5 linked regions of the Macaca mulatta genome follow. The protein of the gene in region 4 binds, or shares a complex with, the protein of the main gene of each other region. Links are inferred from orthologs where the notes say so. Each region holds a gene or a part of one and is shown on either strand. Other genes may lie near its edges.

Evidence for each region.
Region 1: the proteins of AP3D1 (region 4) and AP3M1 are in contact, whole or in part, in a cryo-EM structure (PDB 9C5C), measured with the Homo sapiens proteins. The link is inferred for Macaca mulatta from reciprocal best matches to the Homo sapiens genes AP3D1 and AP3M1. Residues at the interface, in NP_003929.4 of Homo sapiens: Lys29, Glu388, Gly389, Thr390, Thr391, Arg393, Glu429, Arg432; in NP_001307192.1 of Homo sapiens: Ser25, Ser27, Asp30, Tyr31, Glu34, Pro52, Asp104.
Region 2: the proteins of AP3D1 (region 4) and AP3S1 are in contact, whole or in part, in a cryo-EM structure (PDB 9C5C), measured with the Homo sapiens proteins. The link is inferred for Macaca mulatta from reciprocal best matches to the Homo sapiens genes AP3D1 and AP3S1. Residues at the interface, in NP_003929.4 of Homo sapiens: Leu18, Gln19, Val22, Arg26, Cys60, Thr63, Tyr64, Gln66, Met67, Leu68, Gly69, Tyr70, Asp71, Ile72, Ser73, Lys87, Phe88, Thr89, Arg92, Ile93, Leu96, Gln100, His103, Tyr126, Leu132, Thr133, Ser136, Tyr161, Lys164, Lys165; in NP_001275.1 of Homo sapiens: Met1, Lys13, Pro14, Arg15, Leu16, Ser17, Lys18, Phe19, Pro22, Tyr23, Glu25, Asp26, Gln28, Gln29, Arg42, Asp43, Glu44, Asn45, Val46, Cys47, Asn48, Phe49, Ser80, Glu81, Ser82, Glu83, Leu84, Gly85, Leu87, Asp88.
Region 3: the proteins of AP3D1 (region 4) and ARF1 are in contact, whole or in part, in a cryo-EM structure (PDB 9C5B), measured with the Homo sapiens proteins. The link is inferred for Macaca mulatta from reciprocal best matches to the Homo sapiens genes AP3D1 and ARF1. Residues at the interface, in NP_003929.4 of Homo sapiens: Lys48, Asp50, Phe77, Ile80, Glu81, Ser84, Asp107, Met110, Leu111, Thr112, Thr113, Asn114, Gln115, Arg117, Lys118; in NP_001019397.1 of Homo sapiens: Tyr35, Ile46, Pro47, Thr48, Ile49, Gly50, Phe51, Asn52, Val53, Glu54, Trp66, Lys73, Ile74, Leu77, His80, Tyr81, Gln83, Asn84.
Region 5: the proteins of AP3D1 (region 4) and AP3B1 are in contact, whole or in part, in a cryo-EM structure (PDB 9C5C), measured with the Homo sapiens proteins. The link is inferred for Macaca mulatta from reciprocal best matches to the Homo sapiens genes AP3D1 and AP3B1. Residues at the interface, in NP_003929.4 of Homo sapiens: Lys352, Leu442, Ile446, Ser471, Tyr483, Trp487, Glu491, His517, Ala520, Val521, Gln524, Asn525, Lys528, Val561, Gln562, Ser563, Ala564, Leu566, Glu567, Gln569, Glu570, Arg571, Ser573, Cys574, Gln577, Leu578, His581, Ile582, Leu585, Lys588; in NP_003655.3 of Homo sapiens: Asn75, Lys466, Lys467, Gln470, Val494, Ala497, Ser498, Trp501, Leu531, Leu534, Gln535, Asn538, Lys542, Asn567, Tyr568, Asp569, Asp572, Arg573, Arg575, Phe576, Ile577, Gln579, Leu580, Lys586, Gly588, Ala589, Leu590, Ser591, Tyr593, Lys596.

Annotation. Positions count from the first base shown.
Region 1 is NC_133414.1:75,471,143-75,477,310, reverse strand, and holds the start of AP3M1 (AP-3 complex subunit mu-1), read right to left. Parts: upstream 3,843-6,168; 5' UTR 3,745-3,842; coding exon 3,742-3,744; intron 3,577-3,741; exon of another isoform or gene 3,119-3,576; intron 1-3,118. Other genes in the region: ADK (adenosine kinase), read left to right, coding at 4,008-4,072. UniProt on the Homo sapiens protein: Part of the AP-3 complex, an adaptor-related complex which is not clathrin-associated. The complex is associated with the Golgi region as well as more peripheral structures.
Region 2 is NC_133411.1:124,872,160-124,877,599, reverse strand, and holds part of AP3S1 (AP-3 complex subunit sigma-1), read right to left. Parts: intron 4,022-5,440; coding exon 3,914-4,021; intron 1-3,913. UniProt on the Homo sapiens protein: Part of the AP-3 complex, an adaptor-related complex which is not clathrin-associated. The complex is associated with the Golgi region as well as more peripheral structures.
Region 3 is NC_133406.1:85,833,965-85,840,075, reverse strand, and holds the start of ARF1 (ADP-ribosylation factor 1), read right to left. Parts: upstream 4,017-6,111; 5' UTR 3,976-4,016; exon of another isoform or gene 3,891-3,975; intron 3,815-3,890; exon of another isoform or gene 3,296-3,814; coding exon of another isoform or gene 3,234-3,295; intron 1-3,233. UniProt on the Homo sapiens protein: Small GTPase involved in protein trafficking between different compartments. Modulates vesicle budding and uncoating within the Golgi complex. In its GTP-bound form, triggers the recruitment of coatomer proteins to the Golgi membrane.
Region 4 is NC_133424.1:2,850,123-2,855,562, forward strand, and holds part of AP3D1 (AP-3 complex subunit delta-1), read right to left. Parts: intron 4,256-5,440; coding exon 4,024-4,255; intron 2,831-4,023; coding exon 2,685-2,830; intron 2,211-2,684; coding exon 2,069-2,210; intron 244-2,068; coding exon 172-243; intron 1-171. UniProt on the Homo sapiens protein: Part of the AP-3 complex, an adaptor-related complex which is not clathrin-associated. The complex is associated with the Golgi region as well as more peripheral structures.
Region 5 is NC_133411.1:84,651,671-84,657,769, reverse strand, and holds the start of AP3B1 (AP-3 complex subunit beta-1), read left to right. Parts: upstream 1-2,397; 5' UTR 2,398-2,516; coding exon 2,517-2,644; intron 2,645-6,099. UniProt on the Homo sapiens protein: Subunit of non-clathrin- and clathrin-associated adaptor protein complex 3 (AP-3) that plays a role in protein sorting in the late-Golgi/trans-Golgi network (TGN) and/or endosomes.

The sequences.
Region 1 (6,168 bases), on a different chromosome or scaffold from region 4:
GGCAGAGGTTGCAGTGAGTCGAGATGGTGCCACTGCACTCTAGCCTGGATGACAGAGCGAGACTCCATCTCAACAACAAAAAAGAATTGAAAATGTCTGTTGATTTAAGAGTGTTTTTTAACTTTCTTTCCTTAACGCCTGCTAAGAAGCCTTTTTAGACTTCATCTTCTTACCACCCTGCCAATCAAACTCCTCACCCATAAAGCTTTCTATTATTCTTTCTTTTTTAATTGTAAATTGACAAATTATAGTTGTATATATTTAGGGGTACCAGATGTTATGACTGATGAATAAAATGTGGAATAATTAACTGAAGCTAATTAATATCACCATAAAATTTTAATACCACAGAATATTCTCTGTTTATGTAATGTATTTGTGCTCTATACATAAAAAGAGTATATATATTTTTTTCACCTCACAAGAAGCGGTTTTTATCTGCTTTGAGATTGCATGATTTAACACACAGAGGACATTGGTGATCTTGGTAAAAGTGGTTTTGGTGGGCTAGGTGTGGTGGCTCACACCTGTAATCCCAGCACTTTGGGAGGCTGAGGCGGGTGGATCACGAGGTCAGGAGTTCAAGACCAGCCTGGCCAACATGGCGAAACCCTGTCTCTACTAAAAATACAAAAGTTAGCTGGGTGTGGTGGCAGGCACCTGTAATCCCAGCTACTCGGGGGGCTGAGGCAGAAGAATCACTTGAACTCAGGAGGTGGAGGTTGCAGTGAGCTGAGATTATGTCACTGCACTCCAGCCTGGGTGACAAGAGCAAGACTCTGTCTCAAAAAAAAAAAAAAAAAAAAAAGTAGTTTTGGTGGTAGTTCAGTGGAATGCTAGAAATAAGTGGGCTGGGAAATAAACAGCAAGAGGTGTAAAAAAAAATAGAGATATGTAGAGTAGATTCAAGAAGTCTAGCTGTGAAGAGGATAAAAAGATAGGAAAATAAATGCAGCAGTTCATAAAGTGAAGGAAGAATACATTTAAATGCTAAAGGAAAGGTGTGAATAGAGGAGAAAAAGCTGACACAGGAGAGAGGGAAAAACGGAAAGAGGACCCTGACACAGCAGGATAGCATGCTACTGGGAGACTAGGTGAAAGAGTTTGCCTTCTCTAAGGAGAAGGAACACTTTCTACTCTTCAGATTGAAGGGAAGGTTTGTATACTTGACTGCAGGCAGATGATGGTTCTCCTTCTCTGTGTAATGGGAGAGAGGTCATTTCCAAAGGGAGGGAGAAATCCTCTTCTCTGTAAATACCATGTGCTACTCGTGAATTGACATAGTACTGAGCTACTTAAAAATATTTAGCCTGCAAAGAACTCCAATAGAGTATGTGTATATGTATTTTTTTAAGAGTTAGGGTCTCACTTTGCTGCCCAGGCTGAAGTGCAGTGGACCAATCATAGCTCACTATTACTTTGAACTCCTGGGCTCAAGTGATCCTTCTGCCTCATTCTGCCTCCGCCTCCTGAGTAGTCAGGACTACAACCATGCGCCACTAAGCCTGGCTAATGTTTAAATTTTTTGTAGAGATGGAGTCTCGCTATGTTGCCCAGGCTGATCTCCAACTCCTGGCCTCAAGTGATTTTCCCGCCTCACCCACCCAAAGTGCTAGGATTACAGGTGTAAGCTACTGCACTCTGTCTGCCAACAGTATATTGTTGGTTTTTTTTGTTTGTTTGTTTGTTGTTTTGAGATGGAGTCTCACTCTGTTGCCAGGCTGGAGTGCAGTGGCACGATCTCAGCTTACCACAACCTCCGCCTGCCGGGTTCAAGCGATTCTCCTGCCTCAGCCTCCCGAGTAGCTGGGACTACAGGCACATGCCACCACGCCCATATAATTTTTGTATTTTTAGTAGTGACAGGGTTTCTCCATGTTTGCCAGGATGGTCTCAATCTCTTGACCTCGTGATCCACCTGCCTCAGCCTCCCAAAGTGCTGGGATTATAGGCATGAGCCATACTGTGCCTGGCCATATATTATATTAAATGGTTAGAAATAAAAATCATAAGATTAAGAAAACCTAATCTTGTTGCAAAGAGAGCTTTCCTAAAGATACGTCAGGTCTTTTTTTTTTTTTTCCGAGGCAGAGTCTCACTCTGTCGCTCAGGGTAGAGTGCAGTGGTGAGGTCTCAGCTTACTGCAACTTCCGCCTCCCGGGTTCAAGGGATTCTCCTGCCTCAGCCTCCCAAGTAGCTGGGACTACAGGCGCGTGCCACCACATCTGGCTAATTTTTGTATTTTTTGTAGAGACAGGGTTTCACTATGTTGGCCAGGCTGGTCTCGAACTCCTGACATCGTGATCTGCCCGCCTCAGCCTCCCAAAGTGCTGAGATTACAGGCGCCTGGCCAAGATACGTAAGTTTAACATAATTCTTTTCTCTTATAGTGTCAATAGAAACTGTCACTCTGCCTTTCCCAAATTAATCCTTTCACTTGTAACTTGATCCCATTCCTTTCCTTCTCTTCTGGGAGGTAAGACTTTTTCTTGAATCTTCAAATAGTTGCTTGTTTCCTGCCCCCAAATAGATATCTTGTATTCTTTAAAACAAACCCCAAACTTTCCCCCACCTTGCCACTCTCAATAATCTTGCTTCATGCACCAAATGATGAAGGATTAGTCTCCACTTGCAGTCTTTCCTCAGTTACTATTAAAGCATCTCTCTCAAATAGCTCAATGACTTTCTAATTATAAAATCCAACGACCTATTCTGATTTCAGCTTCCTCCTCTGGCCATTGCAGCATTTTATGTCATTGATAACTTTCTCCTAAACAAAAATACTTCTTACCCTTTTATATGAAACTTCATCTGCTTTGGGTTTCACCTTGAAAGTCTTTCGGGCTTAATTCTCACAATTTTTTTTTAAAAGTCTTTCTACAATCTCCATGTAAACCACTTTCAAATTCGGTAAAACTCAAACTCCGTAAAATTCCTCCTCCTGTCAGTGACACCATCTTCTTAATCACATAAGGCTGTAAGCTTCGGGTTCAAATTTACCAAATACCAACAGCCACATCGCCCGTCACTTTTCCATACTCACTGCCACCTGCTCAGCTTAGAACCCCGTTACCTCTCTCCTGAAGAACTGCAATACCCTTCTCACTGCATTCCTCACCCCAGGCTCTTCCAGGCACCACCCATTAACAGGACGTCCGCTCAGGTCCTTTTGGGGTTTTGTCCTCCAGAGCAGAAACCTGGGACTGAGATTCCTGCCGTCTGTACAGAGGGGGGACCCAGGAAGCTCGACCTCCGGGGCTCAGGCGCCTGAGAACACTAGGCTGCAGGTGGACCGCTCCCTTCCGGCCTTGCTGGCGAGAAAGCCCGGAAGGCCGGGAGTGGGGGGAAGCCAGGCCCTGGCCCACGGCACCAAAGACGCTCCTAGAGCCCAGATCGGAGTCGGGGGCCCCAGCTATTCAGCCTACTCCCGGGTTTTGGAGCTGTCCCCAATCCACATATTTCCCGCCCCTCACACTCACCCCGACACCTGTGCCAGTCAGTGATTCGGCGCCGGGTCCTCTCCAGACCGAAGCTGAGGAAGCTGAGAAGGCCGCGAGGACCCGCAGCCGGAGTGCCCAGGAGATTGCCTGATTAACAGCTTCAAAGACACCGACTATGTCTACCATATTAGAAAGATTAAATATGCCGGAAGACCGTAAATGAGAGGAAAGACGTCTGTTGAGGTTTAGTATCTAAATATTCTACATCATCCAGGACCTAGAAAAATGGTAGGTTTCTCACCATCTAGATTCAGGCGGTTATCCGCGGCCTAACTCAGTCTGGGGTCCCATATGGCGGGGGAGGCGGGGTCAGGAATGGGCGGGGCATTCGCTGTCGGTGGTGAGGAATAGAGCCAATGATTGTGGATGACAGCGGCACAGAATGGGCGGAGTCTGGAGGGGCGGGATTTGGAGGAGAGAAGGCGGTGATGCGAAGAGGTGGGGGGGGGGTCAGAGAGTATATGGCAGAGGTGGGCTGTAGAACCAAAGTAGGGTGGGAGCGCAAAGATGGCAGCTGCTGAGGAGGAGCCGAAGCCCAAAAAGCTGAAGGTGGAGGCGCCGCAAGCGCTGAGGTGAGCGCTGCCCGACTTGGGGAGGAGGGTGACAGCGCCTGCTGCAAGCAAGCCCGGGCCCACGTGGGGTTTCGCGGCTCCGGCGCTGGGTGGTGTCTCTCATTGCCCGCTTGGGGCCAACACGCAAGACCTGCCGCGCGGGGAGCTGTCTGTCTGGCCGCGACCCCTTGCCGGACGTTCTCTCAGTTTGGCCGAGTCGCCGCCGGTCTGGTGTAGCTCCGGCTCCAGCAGCCCTTGGCCAATCGTGGCCGGCGGAGGGGGGGCGAGCCGGCTGCCTGCGCCACCTGCGAGCAAGCCCAGGCTGGGCTGGTGCGACCCCGGAGGGCCGGACCGGAGCTGCGTCTTTACGCGGCTGCCTTCTCTTCCTGGGGGATGGCGGGGAGGAGGCTCGGCAACTGCTCTACTCTGGGGCGAAGTCAGAATTTTTGGGGATTTTTCGGAAAGTGTTGCGGAAGGCCACGTTGACCTGCCTTTTCGTACACATTCTGAAAGCCTGCACCTTTGAGGACCCTCTACCAGTGACCCAGACCCCTCCGAGGCTTTGCAGGGGCAGCATTTGGATGAATGGCTGGGAAAAGTTGATTTTTCTTTTTTATTTGCACTTTTTGGCAGCAACGGAGACAGTGCTGCCCCTAACACCTGCCTCACATGTGATTGATGTTGCAACTTTTACTTACAGAGTCATTTGTTAAAATATCCCTTCCTAATAAGTGTAAAGTGAAGCAGGCAGTCTTTGATGATTTGGAAATGTTCGTTGAAAGGCAGTGATTTTTTTTTTCCATCTTAAAATAGGCATATCAAACTGATTGAAAAGTATTGGGACACTCCTGATTATACAAGACGTATCCCATTTCTTCCTGTATCACTTTTCTTCACCTCCAAAAGAAGGAATCACAATTGAAAAGAAAAGAACACTTAGGGGCCTGGTGGCGTGTTCATCTGCTTTGGAGGGTGAACAAATCCATGCCAGTGCCTTTAATGTATTCCTACTACCCTCAAAGGGTTAGCGTGTCTACCTCATACCAAGAACATAAACTTTAAAATAAAAACTCTCTGGATATTCTATTTTTATTTTAAATATTCAAGCTATATGCAGAATAAAGAGCAAGGGCTTTTGAATCAGACCTACCTGAGTTAAAGGCATGTGCTTTCCCTACTCTGCCCTTTATTAGAGTATTTCCTTTATAAGGCACCTCCTTCGCCAAACTGGAAGACAGATGCAACTTTTCCCTACCATCCTACTAAACATACAACCCTTAGATTTCCTTAGATTTTTCCTTAATAAAAATAATTATATATAATGCTGATCCATTTTCACTGTGTTTTCCTATTATCTTGTTGGACAGTTCTGTGATCAAAGGAAGGCAAGAATTATGCCTATTTTACAATTGAAGATATTGAAGTCCAAATAAAACAATTAGTACAGGGACAGAAATAAGAACTAGCTGAGCATCCTTTCTTTTTTTTTTTTTTTGAGACGGAGTCTTGCTCTGTCACCCAGGCTGGAGTGCAGTGGCCAGATCTCAGCTCACTGCAAGCTCCGCCTCCCGGGTTTACGCCATTCTCCTGCCTCAGCCTCCCGAGTAGCTGGGACTACAGGCGCCCGCCACCGCGCCCGGCTAGTTTTTTGTATTTTTAGTAGAGACGGGGTTTCACCGTATTAGCCAGGATGGTCTCGATCTCCTGACCTCGTGATCCGCCCGCCTCGGCCTCCCAAAGTGCTGGGATTACAGGCTTGAGCCACCGCGCCCGGCTGAGCATCCTTTCTTATACCTGCAGTCCTGGTGCTTTGTGAGGCTGGGGTGAGAGCATTCCTTAGGCAACCAAAATTCACTTTATACAATATGAACTTAATGCCATCTGTAGACATGAAGTTAAAAGCTTAGACATTCGAGTACTGGGACAAATCTCTAATTTTGTCGGGAGACATTTTAGGATTGGCTATTATTACTTTTATTATATTAGTTTGACTTTCAGACTCAAAGTGTGAGAATGCATTGAGTATTTACACTGAATTAATTTATGATGACTTGCTTGACAGGGGATTGCTACTAGTTTTGGTTAAGGAGAATGGGTTATAAAGACTAAGCATAATT
Region 2 (5,440 bases), on a different chromosome or scaffold from region 4:
AGGTTCCTGAGTGCCTCTTATACTTGCCCCGAATCCCATCACCCTCCCAGCTTAAACCCTCCTCTCCCAATATTCCAATGTTACAGTAAACCATTTTTCTATCAAAACAGAACAGATGGAAGTACATTCAGAGTATATCTTTGCTTCTCTCTTTCAGGATCTGGGAGAGCTTTGCTCTACCTGTCTAGGTATTGGGAATTAAATTGATTCACTTTTTTCCATTACCAGAAATGTACTAACTTTAGACCAACATAATAAAAGCTTTGATTTCTGACAAAGGCCCCTAGATAAATGCATGTTATGTTTCAAAAGCTGTGTTTTAATTATACCCAGAATGATTTTTAAAGATAAATGATGTTCCTAAAATATTAGTTAAATGATGTAAAATATTGATAACCAGTTCTTTTCATCAATCATGACATTCTTGATTTTAAAAGAGTCTTTTTTTGTGTTTGTTTTTGAGATGGAGTCTTACTCTGTCACCCAGGCTGGAGTGCATCGGTGCAATCTTGGCTCACGGCAACCTCCGCCTTCCAGATTCGGGCGATTCTTGTGTCTCAGGCTCCAGAGCGACTGGGATTACAGGCAAGTACCACCATGCCCGGATAATTTTTTTTTTTGTATTTTTAGTAGAGACGGGGTTTCACCATGTTTGCCAGGCTGGTCTCAAACTCCTGACCTCAGGTGATCTGCTTGCTTTGGCCTCCCAAAAGTGCTGAGATTACAGGTGTGAGCCACTGCGCCCAGCCAAACAAGTCTTTTAAGTTTATGCTTATATAATAAATTTTAACTGAAATTTAGTAAGAAGATTAGTAAAAGTTTATACTTTGCTTTCAAGTAATTTTGGATTATTCTGCAGAATAATATCTCTGATAAATTTAACCAATTGAAGTAACATGGACATGAAACATATGAAAGCTTTTGACATTTCAATGTTTCTGGAATAAAGCTAGACGTCGTTCAAACATACTTAAAATATATGAAAGCTACTGAAAAATTAGTCATCATACTTTTCAGTGCTGTTTTAAAAAGATGATCAGGACTAAATGGCCTCACTTTGATTTGAAATCCGATTTCATAACTAAAATATTAGCAGACATTACATGTATAGAAAATATATAATTTTGTGGTTTATCTCCAATCAAACTTAAAACATACTTTCTTGTAAAAGACAAAAAAAGAGAAACTAATTTGGTACGAGCTAACAATTATGTATGATGCAAGATGATCAGGGAATGAAAAATAGAAGTAATCACCAGTATTCTAAACTATTTTAAATAGCATTATTTCTGTGAATGGATTTTAAGTTATAGTATTCTTATAACTATTTCCATTGAAATGTAAATTACATTTTACTGCTCTTTATAGATAAGAAAAATTGCCTCATTAACGAAGTTTTATTCAACAATCAAAAAGCAAATACCCATTATGCAATAATTATAGGTCCTTCATGACTTTCGTCAATATAGCACATTAACCCATTTATGTCAGAGGTTGCAAACTTTTTTTTGTGAAAAATCAGACCTTGGGGATGACCCTGAACAGTAGGATACAAATAACTCCCACAAGCTTAGCATTCCAATAACGGAACACTAGGCATAAATGTGTTAAGTAGCAGAAGAAAAAGAAGGACCACCACCAATGGAAAGGAGTTAAGTACCTGGAAAGGTGAAAATTCCAGACAACTGGTCATACTTTTTATAGATGATTATACAGAATTCACAAATTACTAGATACTCATTCATTATACCAGTTATTAAAGGATTGCATAACTGTTTGTCCCTTGGCATTTAAAATCTATAACCATACAGTTTTGCAAAGCAATGTTTAACAAATGACACATATTTTAAGTTCTTTTAAAACTTTAAAAGCAATAGCTCAGGGTTTACAGTAACCTTTTCCTTACTAAATAATATATTGCAAGTCAGTTATACTAAATTAAATTATGAGTCTTTTTCCTTGTCCCAAAACAAAATTTTCTCTATTAACCTAATTTATGTTTTCCACTTTCAAAAGCCAATATTTTAAAAATTGGCTATAGGACAAACAAAATGTATAGTTACTTAAGAGAATCTTAGCTCTAAATCACCATTATAAACTTCTCCTTTGGGAAACCAACAGGAATGGGAAATTGAGATAAAAATGCAATACTATTTTATTTAAAAGAGAACATTGGAAAATGTTTTTATAAGAAAGCTTCAACTGTTTCTAGATTTCAAATTTATTCTTCATTCTGCGTTTTCTTCAATTAAAATGGGCACAGAATTGAGTTAAACTGATCCTTTAAAATGCCAACAAGATAAATTTTTCAGAACTCACCTGTTGTAAATTAATGCCAGTGTATTTTTAATACCTTGATGTTTTCATAGTAATATTTACTTTAAATCAACAGAACATCTGAGCTTAACACTAATAATTATAAATAAAGTTTGTTTTTTCCAATCTGAGTTATGACTGCAAATACCAAATTTAAGAGTATCCTCAAACCAGCTGGGTGGTGAATGAGATATCAAAAAATTATTGATCTTTTTTTTTTTTTTTTTTTTTGAGATGGAGTCTCGCTCTGTCACCCGGGCTGGAGTGCAGTGGCCGGATCTCAGCTCACTGCAAGCTCCGCCTCCCAGGTTCACGCCATTCTCCTGCCTCAGCCTCCCGAGTAGCTGGGACTACAGGCGCCCGCCACCTCGCCCGGCTAGCTTTTTTTTGTATTTTTTAGTAGAGACGGGGTTTCACCGTGTTAGCCAGGATGGTCTCGATCTCCTGACCTTGTGATCCGCCCGTCTCAGCCTCCCAAAGTGCTGGGATTACAGGCTTGAGCCACCGCGCCCGGCTTTCTTTTTTTTTTTTTTTTGAGATGAAGTTTCACTCTGTTGCCCAGGAGTGCAGCGACGTGATCTTGGCTTACTGCAACCTCCATCTCCAGGGTTCAAGTGATTCTTGTGCCTCAGCCTCCTGAGTAGCTGGGATTACAGGTGCGCTCTACCTGCCCAGCTAATTTTTTTTTTTTTTTTGTAGAGACAGGGTTTCACCATGTTGGCCAGGCCAGTCTCGAACTCCTGACCTCAAGTGATAAAACTATTGCTCTTTCTAAACCTCTGCTAGGGTAATAAACAACCCAAATAATGTGAACCCGGGCGGCTCAGCTACAGCACCTGCTACTGATATTCAGACTAGTGCTTGAGAGAAGAGTCACTAAAATTCTGAAGTAGGGTTTTTATACAATGCTAAAGTGCTGGTTGTTCCTCATTTATCCAATCTAAGGTTGAATCTAACAGCAGAAAGTTAGCTAAGTATAACAAACCAATCCTATAGAATGCAATAAAAACCACGGATATATATGTACCAATGTCTAAAATATGTGACTTAACTAACTTGTCAGTGAAATCTTAGGGAAAGATCTAGAATTAAAAGATTAAAGTATTGAATTTCTTTTTTGAATGTGAACTCAAACATGCTAGGCATTTATTTATAATTTGAAACATTACTTACTTCCTTATAAGAATTCCATTTCCTGTCCCTGCCCTTTCCAGATGTAGTTTTGTAACACAAAATTTATATATCTTTAAAATATTAGTTCTAAGACTTCCTTGATAATTACTGACGTTTTACAAAGCAAATATTAGATTCCATTATTCAGATAATTCTTTTAAGCAATAAGATTTGGAATTGTGCTTATTACCCAAGGCAGCTATGACTGTGGCTAAAAGAAGAATACACAAAGCTGTTTGGCAGATAATAGTCACAGAACCTTTAGCATACTAATATGTGTATATTCAATTTTTTAAAAACTGAATAAGCATAACGGCTGAACCTAAAGGGTGATACTGAAGGACAAACAGTGAAAGCTACAAATCATGCGTAATCTGTCATCATGCTTAGAACCTTTCTTAACTATAGCATTTTCCATTCTTACCTCAGATTTTTCCAGCTTATTTTGTGCATCAATTTGTGTAACAATCTCATTCATGTTTGTCTCCAATACCATTCCCCCCATCACCATTTCTGCAAGAATATTGTGAACCTAAAGGAAATAAAAGAACATATACCCATAAAGAAAACTGACTAAAAAGAAGTTTCATGATTCACTTTTTGTTTCAAATACCACTTCATCTATATTAAATGTATGAGTGGTAAAAACAACTTGGAGTAAGGGCTCATAATCCACTTTCATCACTACTGTGAAGTCCTAGGCAGTTATATAACCCCCTTAAGTTAATAGGCTATAAAACATTAAGTTAATGAGCTTAATAGGCTATAAAACAAAAACAATAGTACTAGCTTCATAGGACTGTTGAAAGGAATAAGGTAATCCAACGCAGTACTCAAAACAAAGTAAATGACTAGTAAATATTAACTACCATTCTTATTATGTCAAGTTTAATACTAAAATATGATTTATAAGGGTCTTTTATGCCAGATTCGTAGCCAACAATAATTAGGTTGTTATTTTACTCATTGTACTTAATGAAGCAATGTAGCACAGTACTTCTAACAGGCTCTAGATTGGAAAAAGCTAGAATTTTTAAAATTGTGGGTACTTTAATAGTGCTTTTACCCCCAAATCCTCTACACATGTAATACTCAGATTTCTTCTCATAAATACATCTTATAATGACTAAAAATGGTGTCTTCCATTGGGAAGTAAAAATATAACTTCATGTCTTTTCATAAGGTATTATTGGATCAAAGAAATCAACAATTCAGAGCTGAATTACATTTCACAGAAGAATCTACTCTGCTATATATATATATTTTTAAATAATGTGGTAAGGTTAGAAACGGAGACTCCAAAATTAGATAAGCATGAATACTGGCTCTACCACTTATTACTTGTAGCCTTTGAGCAGTTACTTCAGCTCTCTGAGTCTGTTACCTTATTTACAAAATAGAGACAGCAATAATATAGGCACCTCATAGAATTACCATAACAATTACATAAATAATTCATGTAAGTGCTTAGCATAGAACTACTAAGTATTATAAAGTAATTTATTTTTTTTCAACGAATTCTTTTTAGGAGTTAAATATATATTATTTGATTTAAATTTCTTTGTAAGATTTCATGCAAACTTATTCATAATTTTAAAAATATCCCTGGAGGCTGGGTATGGTGGCTCACACCTGTAATCCCAACACTTTGGGAGGATGAGGTGGACAGATCACTGGCAATATGGTAAAACCCTGTCTTTACAAAAAATGCAGAAAATTAACCAGGCATAGTGCCTCACGTCTGTACTTCCAGTTACTCGGAAGGCTGACCCAGGAGGACTGCCTGAGCCTGGGAAGCGGAGGGTGCAATGAGCCAAAATCACAGTACTGCCCTCTAGCCTGGGCAACAGAGTGAGACCCTGTCTCAAAAAAAAAAAAAAAAAAAAAAATCATTATTTACTATTTTTCATTTTGGAAATATGGATACCTCATGCAAAAATTACGAAGACAA
Region 3 (6,111 bases), on a different chromosome or scaffold from region 4:
AAAACCCAAACTCAGTTTCTCACACACTCTTATAACACAGGTCGCTTCTCACACCACATGAGCAGGGGTTTCTCCACACATGCCAAGTAAGCAACCAGTTCTGCGTTCTGCAGCAGACACCGGATAGGTGTCCTTTAATTCAGTTCAATCCTGACACTGTCCACCTGGAGGCAATCACAAGCTCCAGGTTATTTTACCTGTGCTTCTGGACAACCATCTATAAATCAGGGTTCCCATAACTCCTTCCCCTTGGGTTCAATTAATTTGCTAGAGTGGCTCACAGAACTCAGAAAAACACTAAAGTTTACTGGTTTTTCATAAAGGATATTACAAAGGATACAGATGGAGAGATGCATAGGGTGGGGTATGAGGGAAGAGACACGGAGCTACCTTGCCCTCCTGGGCGTGCCACCCTCCAGGAACCTCCATGAATTCAGCTTTCTGGAAGCTCTCTGAAAGCCCAGGCAGGCCTTTTGGGTATTTCCCATCAACAAGGAATTTCATGCTATTTCAGAATTGTACTTAAGTGTGGTTCAGTCTGAACATTCCTTTGTACAAATGTGGAAACACGGGGCTGTAGATGCTGTTAACTACTGAAGGCAAAAGTGTGGCTTCATGATATTAGTGTGATTGATTAAATTATTGGCTACTGGTGACCAGCTCAATCTTCAGTCCCTCTCCACTCTGGGGAAATTGGAGGGTGGGGCTGAAACCCTCTAATCCTACCTTGGCCCCGTGACTAGCCCTACCCTGAAGTTTCGTAGGGGCTGCCCGTCACTGGTCAACTCATTAGGGTACAAAAAGACATCATCACTTTGGAGATTCCAAGTATTTTAGTAGTTGTATGGCAGGAAATGGGAGGCAGGCCAGATATGTATTTTGCAATCCACAACTACAGACTTCTAACTTCCTGAAATGTTCATGGACTGAATCAAGTCTCCCGTTCACTTCATGCTGTACACTAACAGTGAGCCCTGGGCCTCCGGGGTGTGGGAGAACGTCTGCCTTCTAAACAGAATCATTCTCAATTGCTGTGCCTGTGAAAATCTGCCTTTTATGCTTTCCCTGTCTCTTCTCTTGATGTCATTTAGGCTTTTCCTGTTATCAGGGCCTGTAAGAAGCACCACCTTTCCCAGTCTGTTGGCTGACAACCGGCTGCAAGCCCTTGTTACCACTGTGTGAGAACCAGGAAACCAGGATTAGTCAAGGACATTATGGCTAATCAGCCAGCCTTACTGTCTTCTCATCCCTGTAGATGGTTGAGTGACAGGACCCTGGGGGAGGACCTGAGAGCCTCTTGGGAACAAAAAACATCCAGGACATGTCTGTCAAGTTGCTAACAAGGTCATCTGACCCACCTGAGAATGTGAAACTACCTTCCAAGACGGTGCTGGGCACCTGCACAGCTGTAAGGTGATAAGTGCAACTATGCCTTAAAGAGTTTATAACAACCACAGGAAAATACGAACCTGAGGATGAAGGCAAATCCTGGAATCCCAACATGAAGGGGCTAAACCTTTTCCAAAAGACCACTTCAGATGCTACAGGCAGGATACCCCTACCAACCAACCACACCAATGAGGAGCAGGCACAACACAGAAAACACAAGTTCTCATAATTTAAGATCCCCACTGCAAGGCCTTTTCCTGTTTCTCTCCCAATTACCTCTGACAGTGCACTCTACTTCCTTTCACCCTCTTGAGTTTACCGAGGTGAAAGGTCAGGGGGAGAGGACAGAATGCCTATGAGAGACAGTATGGGCCTGCCAGCCCAGGCTGGCTGCAGCCTCTTGCTCAAGAGAATGGTCACAGCTCAGGAAGAAGTGTGTACAAAAGCTTGGTGAGCATGGCCTGTGAGTAAGAGCTGGTTTAAATACACCAATGAGACATTTAATTTGAAGAATCTAGAAAAAACTGCTTCAACTCTCTGAAACCACAGTCATATACTTTGCGTGTGAACTTGCACAACAGGTTTTTTTCTCTTAGTTAGGTCTACTTCTATGATCACTGCAGCAGCTGACAGTCCATATTAAATTTTACTGAAGTGAAAAATGAAAGGCCAAATGCATCTTCGAAGCTATAGTTTCAAGCCTGTCCAGTCTGTAGGGGCAGATGAGCAGGTGAAGATGTCTGAATGTCCTCTCCATATTGTGCAAGAGGTACAGCGCATAGCTAGACTACATGATGTACAAAATCAGAACTGTGAGGGGCACAGAACCAGTTTTTGCTTTTCACTCACAGTCATTCTGTGACTCAGCTGTTGTCCAAACCAACTGTTTCAAATCTTTTTCAACTAGCAAATCTGAAAAACTGCCTGACAGGCAACAGCATATTCCTACTGCTGCAATGATTTGGATTTATTTTCAACAAGATACACCTAAAGACAAGTGACAGATATTCTCCGGTCTACCAACATGTGAAAACGTGGACAACACACCTCTAACAATGTGGCCAATCAGATGTGTATACTAACATTTATACTACTCAATTCTTCTCAATTTTGGACCCAGCTAATAGTACGGCATTTCAGGACCTTATGGTTCTGGCTACCTTGGTAGTGCTGGTGAAAATTCAAATTAAATGAGGACATCATCCATGCAGTCACACGTGTTAGACAATGGCTAACGCAAAAGCAGAGGGCCACAGGGGCCGCACACAACCGCACCTCGGCATCTCACACTCCTCCCAACACACTGCGGAAAACGCCAGAACCACCAGCCTTGCAACAACCGGCGGCAGAGAAAACTGCTGACCACTAGTTCTGAAACAAGAAATACAACTGCCCACTCCAATAGGGGCAGTGGCACCAACTCTACAGCTCTAAACTAGGCGGCGACTTCGGGGACCATCCAAAGACTCCGACCTCCCTTCTTTTTCTGCCCGCGATTCCGAGCGCATTTCTGCTCAATTCCTGCAAAGCAGCAACTGGCTGCCTGGACGGAAAGGGAGTCCGCCAGGAAGTGCCGTCGGAATGGTTATCTAACACTCTAGGTGCGCACGGCTGTACAGACCCAATCTCACAAGCCGTAACCACCCAGGCTGTGCCCCGAGAGAGCGCTGGGGCCGGCCTCTGCGGCCTAGAGTCTACGAGCAGGTCGTTCCGCAGGCAAGTTAAAGATTCACCAGCTCAAAAGAGGCCTTCTTATCTACTGCCGACAACGTCAAGGAAACCACCCTGGAGTTAAAGCGAACATCGACCGGCCCTCTGGAAGCCACCGGAGACTTCATACTGACCCCAAATCGCGTCTCACTGTTGTGAAGGGAGGCACTCTGGGCTTCCCCGGAGGTCCACGCATTCCGTTCAGCAGACAGGGAAAGGCGCAGGGTCCCTGTCCACTGCCCGCCCGCTCGCTCTCACCGCCCCTGACCCAGTGCCTTCCTCAGAAGAAACACGAACTGGATGGAGTCGGGAGGCGAAGGTGCAAGCCCCCACCACCTACGTGACCTTGACGGTGTCTTGGGGCCGCCTGAGCCTCAGTTTCCCGGTCCCCGAGGCAGCGGTCCGCCCGGATGCCGCTCGCTAGCCTGTACTCGGGTGGAGGAGGCCCCACAACCCCCACCGGCCCCCGAGACCGCTAACCCCAACCCTCCACGCGCGGGCGGCCTCGGGAAACGTGAGGGGCAGAGGTGAGGGAAGCAGGAAGCCCAGGTTTCCTGGAGAAGAGCCTGGCGTCCCGGCTGACTTCCGGGCGACGGGCGGGGGCAGGGACTGGCAGAGGAGGACAAGGGGCCGCGGGCGACTCCGGGAACCTGTGAGGGGCGCGAGGAGCTCACCGACCCGCCCGCCCTCCCAGCCCCGACTCCCCAGCCTCAGCCCGGCCCGTCCTCGTCCGCCCCCGGCCCGGCCCTGTCGCCGCCGCCGCCGCCGGGATCGAGGTGCCCTTCGCGAACCTCAAGTCGCCCCGAGGCCAGTCCCCAGACCCCGCCGGCTCCAACTTGTGTGCGGCCCACACCGACCCGCGCCCCTCGCCCTCACCTCAGAAGCTGCTGCTTCGAGCCAGGCGTTGGTTTCGCTCCCACAAGATGGCGGCTCTGACGGCGGCCACGTCAGCGCCTGCGGGCGCGGGGAACGTCGGGTAAGAGGCGGAGACGCCGGGAGCTCCGCCCCCCGTGCGCCCGCGACGCAGGCGCGCTGGCTCCAGAAGGGCTGCAGGGGGCGGGGCCGGGGACACCCAGCCCCGGGCCGAGGTCCTAGCTCGCGCGCGCCTTAGGGGTGCGCACCCGTCTGCGCCTGCGCCTGTGAGTCTTCCGAAAAGACACCTTGTGGCTGCCACACGCCCGTTTGGCAGATTCGGAGACTGAGGCCCGGGGGGCTGCTGCAGCAACTGGAGCGGCGGGGCCGGGTTGCCACCCTCCTCCTCCCCGACCCGGCAGTCACCGCGAGCCCTCGGGGACCGCGTGAGGACTGGGGTGCGAGGCGCCCCTTCGCTGGGATTGGGGTCCCTGGCTCCCAGGCTGCGCGGGTCCGTGTGCCCCGGCCCTGTGGAAACCTGTGGCACTCGCGGGGCCTCGGCGGAAGGTCCGAAGGAGGGAGGCCTGCTATGTCCCCGCACTGGCCTCGGCGCCCCGGCGGCCGCAGTGACTCGCGCGGGCTCATGCCTGGGCTCATGCCGGGGAGTTGGCTACAGATGAAGCAAAGGAGGAGGTGGCCTGGGGACCCCGGGGGGAGGCCGGGGCTGTGGGGGTGGTGCCCAGAAGGGAGGTCACAGCGGTCTCTAATGAGCTGGCCTTTCAGCTGAGATCCAGTTGAGGCGGAGGAGACCCCGCTCCCAGGAAGCCCTCCTGGATTGGTCAGAAGGGAACAGAGGCCTGGCTCTGCCCACCACCCTCAGGTCTTCTTGCCTCTTCCCTTGTGCAGCTGTGAGGGATTGGGCTTGTGGGAGAGCGTCCGTGCAGCACAGTTCTCTGGGTATTCTGGAGGTCGGGAATCAACCTGATTTGTCCAGGGGGAGGCCCGGGGGCAGGGCCTGAGGGGTGGGGTCACTGGGCCTGGCCCAGGCCTCCTGCGCCCCTTTGCTGCCGCCATCACCTACCTTGCTTGCCCCTTGGGCAGGGCATCCTCACTGCCACTGCAGGCTGCGATAGTCGGAGTTCTCCCCCAGGGCTGCACCTGCGGGGGCTTCGAAGGACCCCAGAAGTGGTGACCCTCCTGCCCCCAAATTCAGTCCCTTTTTCTGCCTGGGGCTCCCCTCTGAAATCTCACCTCTGTGAAGCTGCGGCAGGTTGTCTGTTTAGGGGAAGGATGTCTCCCTCCCACCCTACAGGCATCTCAGATACTCTTGGAAAGCCCCAGGGAGGGGTGTGGATGCCTGTGGAGCCTTCTGATTGTGCTGCCTCTCCCGCTCAGCCAGAACTGGACCATGCTCGGACATTTCATGGGGGATACATGTGGTTATGGCCACTTTAGGGCTGAAGGGACCTGGCTTTGGTTCTCTGATGGCAGAGCATGGCCAGGGGTGGCTCCAGTGTCACTGAGTGGGGATTGTGTGGGAACCAGAGCCTGCTTCCCCTTCCTTTAAAATACTCTATTTTTTTTTTTCTTTTTTTGAGATGGAATCTTGCTCTGTCGCCCATACTGGAGTGCAGTGACACAATCTTGGCTCACTGCAATCTCCGCCTCCTGGGTTCAAGCAATTCTGCTGCCTCAGCCTCCCAAGTAGCTGGGATTGCAGGCGCCTGCCCCTACGCCCAACTAATTTTTGTATTTTTAGTGGAGACAGGGTTTCACCATGTTGGCCATGGCTGGTCTCGAACTCCTGATCTCAGGTGATCCACCCGCCTTGGCCTCCCAAAGTGCTGGGATTACAGGTGTGAGCCCCCGTGCCTGGCCCCTTTAAAATATTTTATTTTAAATGTGAAAAAATGCAGACAGGAAAGAGTGTATGTCAGATACATGCACAGTTTAAAAAGTAATAAAATGGATTTCTGTATACACAGCCCTAGGGTTAAGAAATGTACCTTCCCCAGCCTGGGCAACATGATGAGACCCCATCTCTACAAAAATTTTACAAAGATAGCCAGGTATGGTGACACACACCTGTAGTTCCAGCTACTTGGGAGGCTGAGGTGGGAGGATCGCTTGGGCCCAGAAGTTCAAGGTTACAGTGACCTA
Region 4 (5,440 bases):
GGGGCCCACAGGGAGGCACCCGCCCCTCAAAGGCTCCGCACAGTCACTGTGTGGCCCCAGCTCCACTCCCAGGATCTTCCAGAAGGAACCTGAAACTCAGAAGGACGCCACAGGGCATGGGTGGTGAGGGTAGAGGGTGCTGAGGGACAGGCAGCCGGGGACGGGCCTCACCTTCTGTGGCGACGGCGAGCTCTTGATGTAGAAGGGGTTGTTGGCCTGCTCCTGCTTCCGGGCCTCTCGGCGCTGCGGGACACGACTTGGCATGAGCTCAAGCGAGCGGGCAGGATACCTCTCTATGGACGTCCACTACCAGCCACCCAACCAGGGAAGGCTGGATCTTTGGCTATTTTCACTACTGAGCTTTTACTAATAGGGAAACCAAGGCCCGCAATTGGGAAGAGCGCATATTGGAGAAAAGGAATCGCTAACCCTCTGGGACGCAGGGACACACATGCCTCCACTGCCAGGGTCAGGACCAGGACCCACGGAGGCCGCTGACCTGCCTGGGCTACCCGGCTACTGATGAGCAGCTCAGACGGGCTGGGGCTGCTGAGCTCGGGACAGGGCCTCCTGATTGCCAGGGCTGCCTGAAAGCACGGCCTGGAGGATGCAGGAGCACAAAGGCCCGCACGCAGCCCACCATGGGCATTCCCTCTGTCGGTGTAGGATGAAAGGAGAGGACTGCTGGAGGGGCTCCCCTCTCTGCACAGGTGAGCAGGGCGAGGTGGAGCCCCACACGGGGCACAGGGGCTGCATCTGCCTCGGGAGGATGGGGTCCAGGGGCCTCCTTCACCTTCCCCAGCTTCTGGTCTGGGTGGGCTGCACGTGTCTGCAGTGTCTTACAGCAGCTATGGCAGGGTCAGGGAAGGGCCCCACACAGGCACCCACACGCCCCCAGCTGCAGGTCGGGTTAATGGAGTTCTCCTCAGGGGGGCTCCTGGATCTAGAGAAGCTGTCCCCCATGTCTTTTTTTTTTTTGAAATGGAGTCTTACTCTGTCACCCAGGCTGCAGGAGTACAATGGCATGATCTCACTGCAACCTTTGCCTCCCGGGTTCAAGCAATTCTTTTTTTTTTTTTTTTTTGAGACGGAGTCTCGCTCTGTCGCCCAGGCGGGAGTGCAGTGGCCAGATCTCAGCTCACTGAAAGCTCCGCCTCCCAGGTTTACACCATTCTCCTGCCTCAGCCTCCCGAGTAGTTGGGACTACAGGCGCCCGCCACCTTGCCTGGCTAATTTTTTTGTATTTTTTAGTAGAGACGGGGTTTCACCGTGCTAGCCAGGATGGTCTCGATCTCCTGACCTCGTGATCCGCCCGTCTCGGCCTCCCAAAGTGCTGGGATTACAGGCTTGAGCCACTGCGCCCGGCCGGTTCAAGCAATTCTATTGCCTCAGTCTCCTGAGTAGCTGGGATTACAGGTGCCCGCCACCGCACCCAGCTAATTTTTGTATTTTATTTTATTTTTTTTGAGATGGAGTCTCACTCTGTCGCCCAGGCTGGAGTGCAGTGGCGCGATCTCAGCTCACTGCAAGCTCTGCCTCCCGAGTTCATGCAATTCTCCTACCTCAGCCTCCCCAGTAGCTGGGGCTACAGGTACCCGCCACCACGCCCGGCTAATTTTTTGTATTTTTTGTAGAGACGGGGTTTCACTGAAACCAGGATGGTCTCGATCTCCTGACCTTGTGATTCGCCCGCCTCAGCCTCCCAAAGTGCTGGGATTACAGGCGTGAGCCACTGCACCCAGCCAATTTTTGTATTTTTCGTAGACACAGGGCTTCACTATGTTGGCCAGGATGGTCTTGATCTCTTGACCTCATGATATGCCCACCTTGGCCTCCCAAAGTGCTGGGATTACAGGCATGAGGCACCGCGCCTGACCAAGATGCTCCCCATTTCAGTGAAGCTCAATGAAACTCAACCATAACATGAAATACCCACTTGGGGCGTCCTGGAGGGCGGCGGTGCACAATCTTGAGCCAACAGAACCAAGCACCGGACTCAGGAGCCTCAAAGACTCCCTGGGACAGGAGGGAGGAGGCGAAGGCCCACCAGGGGCACCCAACGGCTCACCCGAGCCAGCTCTTCCTCGTCTGCCTCGGACGGCCGGTGCTTGGGGCGCCGCTGCTCTTCCTCGTGGAAGACGGCCCTGGGCCTCTCGTCCTCTGACTCGCTGTCCGAGAGTGGCTCGTTGATCCAGGCGTCTAGGTCCAGGCTGTGCCGGACAGGAGGGTCACACAAGGCAGTGTGTGTGACCGAGCACGCGCCTGCAGGCGCCCACCCTGAGCAGGCTCACCACGTGCCTGGCCATGTGAGACCCCAAACAGTGGTGCCTGCTACCCACACAGGGCCAGCGAGGCAGGTGTCACTGCCCCTTAGAGAGGATGCAGAGACCCAGGAAGGCTACAGCAGGGTCACAGTGGGGCCCTCACGGCAGGTTCAGGCTGCCTCAGAGCTTGAAGGCAAGGGTGGAGCAGGCCCACCTCCCAGGGAGCATCCCCAGGTTCCAGCCAGGTCCCAGAAGCAGAGAGAGCCCCGGTGAGTCCAGCGAGGGGCGCCCGCCCCAGGCCTCCAATCAGCCCCACACCCTCCTGGCTGTTGAGGGCTGCAGTAGCCCCCTCTGTGCCTCCAGGCATCAGGCGACCACGTCAAGGCTGTGGTTGCAATGCCCCCACCCCCGTATCCTTACCCTTCAGGGACTGGAACCTTCTTCTGGGCCTTGGGGGCCACTGGGTTCAGCTCCCCAGCAAAGAGAGTGCTGACCTCCTCCGCCACGGGCACGTCCTTGGCCTGAAGCTTCTGGATATGCTTGACCAGCTGCAGGATGCAGGACGCCTGCGGGGGACGCAGGAGTCACCGCTGGCACCTGCCCGGAAGGCCATTTGGCCACCCTCAGGGACACTGGGTGGCTAAGCCCCTGGCACAGTGACGTGCGGGCCCTCTGGCACAGCCAGGTACCCACAGAGAGCCCAGCCTTCATGCCATCTCCATTGTCATCCTTGACAAGCAGCGGCGGAAAAGACCAGTCCACAAACAGAACAGAGATGGGGGCACAACAGGGAGCTTTGCCCACTGCAGAAATGCCTCCCATAAGGCCTGTGCCCCGACACCAGAAGCACCACCTTGTTCGGCCCCTGCGGGCTCCCTGCCTCTGTGCTGGCTGCAACTCAGACACAGCCAGGCTGGGCAGCTCCAAGAGTGACCATGGGCCAAGGATCATGGCCAGCCCCCAGATAATGCCACTGCTCAGAGAAGCCCGGGGCCACACCCCATGCAGCCTTGACGCTGGGTCTCCTCAGCCACTGGATGGGCTGATGCCGCTCCCGATCTCTCTCACAGATGACCAGACGCAATGTTTCACATCTGTAATCCTTGCACTTTGGGAGGCTGAGGTGGGAGGATCATCTGAGGTCAGGAGTTTGACCTGGCCAACAAGGTGAAACTCCGTCTTTAATAAAAATACAAAAATTAGCCGGGTGTGGTGGTGGGTGCCTGCAATCCCAGCTACTTGCGAGGCTGAGGCAGGAGAACCCCTTGAACCCAGGGGGCGGAGGTTGTCGTGAGCCGAGATCACATCACTTCACTCCAGCCTGGGCAAAGGAGGGAAATTCCATCTCAAACAAAACAAAACAACAAACAGAAAAACAGAGACCTGGGAACTGGTGGGCACCAGCTGGCACAGGTGTACAGTCTGCTCAACCCAGAACCCACGTCACCTGCAGGGCACCAGAAAGAGCCACAGCCAGCCCCAGGCTCTCACACCTGCTGTCTCGCCGCATGTGAAACAGGCTCTTCCTATGGCCAGGAGCAGCACCCCCACATACCCAGCACCCCAGAGACCTGCCCAGTCCCACTGACCTAAAGGTCCCACTGACTAACCCCAAACCCCAGCTGGCACAAGTGGCAACAAAGGAATCTCAGTGAGTGGCTTCAGAAGAGGAAGGGAGGCCCCGTCAACCTGGCCGCCGCTGGACAGAAAGGCACTGAGGGCTCCCTGAGGCTTGGCCCAACGCTGAGTGCAGCCTTACCCGCTCCTGCACCTCCAGGTCTGCGCTCTGCACAAACTGGGGCAGCCGGTCCACCATGAGTTGGGTGACGGCCTGGGCGCCCTCTGCCTCCCCGGCCTGCTCCTTCTGCTGCAGGATGTTGGCGTACAGCTTGACCACGTTCTGCACATACACGGCCTGGATGTGGCCTGGCAGCGTGGTGACTTTGGGCCGTAGCATGGCCTCCAGAGTGTGGTGCGGTTCCTGCAGATGCCTGAGGACAGGAAACGCCGTGAGTCCCCAGGATGCCCGCCCCAGGGCTCCTCTCCAACAGGTGAGGACCTGGGAGGCCTGGGCTTGTCACAAACGAGGTGACTCTGGGCCTTTCCCATTCCCTGAGCTGTCTCCGGGGGCTGAGACACGAAGTAGAAGAAACCAGGGGCCATCCATAGCCCATAACACGAACAAGACAGAGATGTGGAGATGACAGAGCCACTGAGCGGAGGACAGGTCAGAAGAGGAAAAAGGACAATGGGGTCGACTGTGCAGTTGGCCCTGGGAAGATGAGCAGGACGGGCAGGGAGGAGACGGAGCCGGGAGACCCTGATCTGTGGGACACTGGGGCCTGGGGGTGTGCCTCACTCACATCTGACACAATGTCTTGGGACTTGGATATGTTTCTAGTCCACTTTTCTCCCACCAAGAAAATAATAGAAGTGGCCGGGCACTCACCTATAATCCCAGCAGTGTGGGAGGCCAAGGCAGGCAGATCATGAGGTCAGGAGTTTGAGACCAGCCTGGCCAACATGGTGAAAGACTACTTCCACTAAAAATACAAAAAATGAGGCCAGGTGCAGTGGCTCACGCCTGTAATCCCAGCACTTTGGGAGGCCAAGGCAGGCAGATCACAAGGTCAGGAGATCGAGACCATCCTGGCTAACGCGGTTAAATCCCGTCTCTATTAAAACTACAAAAAATTGGGAGGGATTGCATTGGGAGTTATACCTGATGTAAATGACGAGTTGATGGGTGCTGACAAGTTGATGGGTGCAGCACACCAACATGGCACAAGCATACATATGTAACAAACCTGCATGTTATGCACATGTATCCTAGAACTTAAAGTATAATAATAAAAAAAAAAAATACAAAAAATTAGCCAGGCGTGTTGGCGGTCGCCTGTAGTCCCAGCTACTCGGGAGGCTGAGGCAGGTGAATGGTGTGAATCCGGGAGGCGGAGCTTGCAGTGAGCCGAGATAGCGCCACTGTACTCCAGCCTGGGCGACAGACAGAGCAAGACTCTATCTCAGAAATAAGAGATCGAGATCAGCCTGGCCAACATGGTGAAACCCCGTCTCTAATGAAAATACAAAAAAATTAGCCGGCCTTGGTGGCAGGTGCCTGGGATCCCAGCTACTCGGGAGGCTGAGGCAGGAGAATTGCTTGAACCCGGGAGGCA
Region 5 (6,099 bases), on a different chromosome or scaffold from region 4:
TTTATCTTTCTGTAAGAATATACAGTCTTAGAATTTTAAGGCAGTAAGGGCCTCAAGTCCCTTCTTGTCAATGCTCTCATTTTTTTTTTTTTTTTTTTTTTTAGTGATAAAAAGAAAGTTTTATCTATTTCATCCAGGAATATATGCTCTGTATCTTATACGTAATATTCCAGAGAAAAAGTTACCTATACCTGTTTTTTGAAGAATAGATATTCTTAATATCCACACCATTCAAGGACAATGTAAAAACAAAACAAAACCCCAAAAAACAAACCCCCAAAACCCAAAACCCCAATATTGTAGGTCAGTCTCCTACCTGAGTCTGTGTGAAAAAATAAAAATATTACAAAGTAAAATCAAGCAGTTAATTAAAAATAACAGACTCAAGGACAAAGAACTCTTCAAGTCCATCAGAAAAACTACTCAGTGTAAAAGTGGATAAATAGGTTCATATGCAATTCCCAGGAAATAAAATGCAAATGGAGTAACCACATAAAATATTCTCAAGTTCATTATGACCATGAAAATGAAAATTAATTACCATACAAATAATATTCCTTCATATCATATTGATGACAATAAAACATTTTTAGAAAGCTAAACGTTTGTGAGAATGTGAAGAAAGAAGATTACACACTGCTAAAATTATGCTGGCAAAAAATTTAGGATATCTGGTAAAAGTGCACAAACTCTAAAACCAAGAAATTCTATAATCAGGTATGTGTCAGGTATTTTCCAGGCTATGTGTATATCAATGTTCTCCTTTTACAAATAAAGTAACCAAAGCCTAACTCTTTTTACTATTAATATATATAAAATTACTTAGAATAGTTTGTGGTATATATTAAGGATTATATAATAATATATAGTTATCTATGATCATCCCCATCTTCATTATCAATAGTCAGTTGTAGATGAAATGTTATTAATTAACATCATTAATATTGACAAACACATTTTAGGTGATCATCATTGGATCTCCGGAGCAGTATTCTAACAGTCGAATTAAAAACCTGCCAATATTTAACCAGACGATGAAGTTTGGAGGACATTCCTTCTTCTCCCACCCAGAGCCACGCTCGTGCGTGCTTCCACAGTGACAGTCTGACCTTTTGAAACTTGGAGATCATACTTTGATCCTTGAAAACGCCCCACCGCCTTCCCAGAGGCTGCCGGTCTCCACGTTCGCGTTCTACCTGGTAGAATCCCTTGACAGTTTCAGTACCTGGCCGCCAAGGCTTTGGGAGTTAACGCCTACCTGGACGGGAGGCACTGGAGAGAAGAGAGGGAAGGCTCTGAAACCCAACCGAGAAGGCGGGCTGGGGGAAGTCACTCCTGGAAAGAGGTTTTCTCGGGTGCCAGCACCCGGAGAGAGCTACTCCGGGGCCAGGCAAGCATCCCGCCTAGGCTCCCTAGTGCATATTAGTGAGTGACACGACGGCGACAGGACACAGAAGTGTCAGATGACAGCTGCGCCTGGCGCGCAAGGTGGTCCATTTTATTTTTGGTAGCTAGACGCCAGTAGGACGCACCACTTCAGCTCTAAACTGGAACTGGTGGTCCCAAGATGTTTTCTGTTCTTTTTAATTTTTTTGAGACAGGGTCTCGCTCTGTCGCCCAGGCTGGAGTGCAAAGGCGCGATCTCAACTCATCGCTACCCCCTCCTCCTGGGTTTGAGTGAACCTCCCACCTCAGGCTCAGTAGCTGGGACCACAGGCGCGAGCCACCACGCCGGCTAATTTTTATATTTTTTGCAGAGACAGGGTCTCGCTATGTTGCCAAGGCTGGTCTCGAACTCTTGGCCTCAAGTGATCCGCCCGCCTCGGCTTCCCGAAGTGCCCTACTGGCGTGAGCCACCGCGCCGGTCTGCCTCCAAGATTTTCGTTGCAAGGATGGAATGGTCGCTTCTGTGCGGCTCCTCCAAACCATCGTTGGGAGAGGCCTCCTTAAAGTCTGGGAGAAAAGTTGTTTCGGGTGGATATGAAAGTAAGGCAAAGCCGGAAAGAGGAGAGTAGCCGAAACAAGCAAAGTGATCGCGATGGGTTTAGGAAAGGTGATCTGGCGTGCTAAATGGCGTTTCCGGAGAAATCCGAAAACTACTGCTTTACAAAAGTATACTAAAGAGCTGCCCTGGGTCTGGAAACCCCTTAAGGGATCAAAATGGATGCAATGGGTATCCTTCTCCAATGACACCCCTCACGGGCCGGGAGCCTGGCAGTTCGCCACCCGCTGCCTCCCTTTCCGCAGCCAGGCTCGCAGCCGCTCAGCTACCTCTAAAGCCCGGAGCAGGGAAATCCGCGCAGGCCTGGACGGCCCGGGTGGTATCCTGCCTTCCCGCACACTGCGCATGCGCAGGGGGTGGACTGCTAGGTCGGCTCAGGGAGCGGTGACGAGTCCGGAAGCGCCTGCGCGCGCTCCTCGGTACGCGAACTAGTTTTGTTCGGTGCCCTCTGGACTGGAACCTTTCGGAGAGAACCCCCGGCAGGACCAACCCCGCACCCGCCAGCACCGCGGCAATGTCCAGCAACAGTTTTTCTTACAATGAGCAGTCCGGAGGAGGGGAGGCGACGGAGCTGGGTCAGGAGGCGACCTCAACCATTTCCCCCTCGGGGGCCTTCGGCCTCTTTAGCAGCGATTTGAAGAAGTGAGGAGAAAGGTTTGGGGTACGGGGATGGGAGGGAGGAGCTGGGGACTCGGAGGAGTGGGCGCCGGGTGGGCTCCCTGGAGTGGAGCGGGGTCGCCCTGAGATCTGAGCAGACCTGGGCGGTAACGTGTCCCACGGGTGGGTGGGTGGGGTTGGTTGGCGGTGGTGGGAGTTGGGGGAGTTTGGGGCGTGTGTGTGTAGGGGTCTCTAGTAGTTTTCAAACTTTAGTGAAAAGGAAACCGCTTGGTGAGCTTAGATCCCACCCCTGAAGACACTGATTGAATTGGACTTGGTCTGGGCTCGGGAATCTGAATTTTGAGCATAGTCTTCTAAGTTTATTTATCGTTCGCCGGATCAGACTTTGATACATTCCCTGATTAGGGTGAAACGAGTGTTTTGGTCAAGGTGAGAGTGCGAGTGTTGCTTGTGGGAAGTTATTTTGTGACCCCGGAGTGTAGGAGGAGAGAGGTGGGTTTAGGCTGTTTGAATGGACAAATTGGTTTATACCAGTATCAGTGTTCTTGGATTATATCCTTTGCACTACAGACAAAAACACCAATCCAAAATAAGCATATGAATAGAAAATATTTTAAGAGTGTTACTATGAACAAATCCTAAACTTTTACAAATTAATAATGTGAAGTTTAAAAACGAATGTTAAGATACACTTAGTTTTGTAAAAAGTATCACCGAGAAATGGAAAGAAATCCCAAGTTGTTTGTTTGGGGGGTGGGATGGTGGTATTGGGGTGGTGGTAGTGGTTAAATTTACCACAATTATCATTTTTACGTTTCTCTTATTTTAAATCTTTCATTACTAAGCAATATGGTCACATAATAGTCTGTCGCTAAATTCATGCTAAATTAAGGTAGAATAGCTGTGCTGGTAGCTTTGCAGATATGTTAGAGGGTATAATTAAAATTTAAATTAAACGTTACTAACAATATTGGGTAGTCTAGAAAGTGCTACTACTTGAAATTGGGATTACATTTTGGCTGTATTGAGGATCAAAATCATATAGATAGTACGTACGATACAATATTTTCGTTTCCTTTTTCCCAGGTTAGAAAAGTTTAAAAGTAAGGTAACTTTTCATTTTCATTTCATATAATTTTTCATTATATGCATTTGGTGATCCATTGTTCTAGAGCAAGTACGGAGCTTGTTGCCTTTACTGTAAGCAAAATGTTTAGACTGAATTAACCTGTAAATTGGCATCAATCTGTTTTGCAAATTAATTTACTTTTATGGTTTGTGAACACCCCGTGAGGGGTGTCATTGGAGAAGGATACCCATTGCATCCATTTTGATCCCTTAAGGGGTTTCCAGACCCAGGGCAGCTCTTTAGTATACTTCTGTAAAGCAATAGTTTTCGGATTTCTCCGGAAACGCCATTTAGCACGCCAGATCGCCTTCCTAAACCCATCGCGATCACTTTGCTTGTTTCGGCTACTCTCCTCTTTCCGGCTTTTCTCTTATATTTTTGTCAGATTTGGGGCCAGGCACGGCAGCTCTCGGCTGTAATCTCAGCACTTTGGGAGGCCAAGGCGGGCGGATCACTTGAGGCCAGGAGTTCGATACCAGCCTGGCCAACATGGTGAAACCGCGTCTCTACTAAAAATACAAAAATTAGCCGGGCGTGGTGCCTCGTGCTTGTAATCCCAGCTGGAGGCTGAGGCAGGAGAATCGCTTGAACCTGGGAGGTGGAAGCTGCAGTGAGCCGAGATCGCGCCACAGCACTCTAACTTTAGTGGGTGACAGAGTGAGACTCCGTCTCAAAAAAAGAAAAAAAAAAGGAAAAAGATTTTTGTCAAATTTTGACCTGATTTGGAAAAAAAAACCCAAAAAACTTATGGCCATTGACTCTGTGACCAGTGCTCTTGAGGTGACCTAATAGGTTGGATTTAAAATAAAAGTAGCTAATTGATTAGAGGTGGTATGTAATATATGCAAATAACCATGGTTGAATTGTGTTCCCCAAAAGATATTTATTGAGTGTTTGTGGCACCACTTTACATTTATTATCTCATTCAGTTTTCTTAACAACCCTGCAGGTTATTACCAGCTGCTCCCACTTTACACGTGAGGAAATTGGAGCGTGATCGTTAACTTGGGAAAGGCCGCAAAGCTAGAACATTGAACTGCCTGAATTTGAACTCAGAGGCTCTAATATTAGAGCCCATTCTCTCAAAAGTTTCGATGTCTACTTACTACTTGATGAAATGTATGGTATTTTTATTAGTGAGCGCATACAACTCACGAAAGCTTTAAAACTTTAAATAGCTCTAAGTAGTACCACCAGAGAAGCTTCCAGGGATTAGAAACATTTGGCTGTTGACCTGCAATCTAATGGAATTGTACAGAAACAAGGAGACCCCTGTTCTGGAAATGGTCATTAAATCTCTCTTGAGTCCACATTTTCTCATTTATAAAACTGTAATATTACTTGCCTTTTAAAAAAATCGAATGACATAATTTATGTAAAAAACTTGAAGCTCACCCTGTTTCCTCAGCTCTGGTTTTTAATGGTTTACTCTGATGAAATAGTTTCAAGTTTACAAAAAAGTTGCAACAATAGCACTGAGAGCAACCCTTTTGCAGATTTACCAATTAAAAAAATTGCTACATTGCTTGCCTACTGTCTCTGTCACTCACTCTCCCCATGCATATTCAGGCACATATACGTATTCATGTTATGTGTCTTCTGAACCATAGGAGACTCGGTTGTACACATCATGTTCTTTTTTTTTTTTGAGACGAGTCTCGCTCTGTCCCCCAGGCTGGAGTGCAGTGGTGCAATCTCGGCTCACTGCAAGCTCCGCCTCCTGGGTTCACGCCATTCTCCTGCCTCAGCCTCCCAGGTAGCTGGGACTACAGGCGCCCGCCACCACGCCCGGCTAATTTTTTGTATTTTCAGAAGAGACGGGGTTTCACCGTGTTAACCAGGATGGTCTCAATCTGCTGACCTTGTGATCTGCCCGCCTCGGCCTCCCAAAGTGCTGGGATTACAGGTGTGAGCCACCACGCCCGGCCCCTACATCATGTTCTTTTAAACTTAAAATCTCAATGTGTAACTTTTAAGAACAAAGATAGTCTCTTACACAACTTACAGTGTTGATGGATTCAGGAAATTTAATGTGTGTACAATCTATAGTATGTAATCTAATTTTATCGTTTGTTCCAATAAAGGTGTTTTCTTTTTTCCCAAGAATTTTTTTCCTCAAGTACAGGATCCAGTCCAAGATAATATATTTAATTTAGTTGCCATGTCTCTTTAGTCTTCTTTAATCTGGAGTAGTTCTTGAGCCTTTTTTGTCTTTCACGACCTTGACATATCTAAGGATTGCAAGCCTATTATTTTATTTTATGTTAATCAGTTTTTGGGTTTGTTGGTGTTTCCTCATGTTTAGATTCAGGTTATGTATCCTTGGCCGGAATACTACCATAGGTGATGC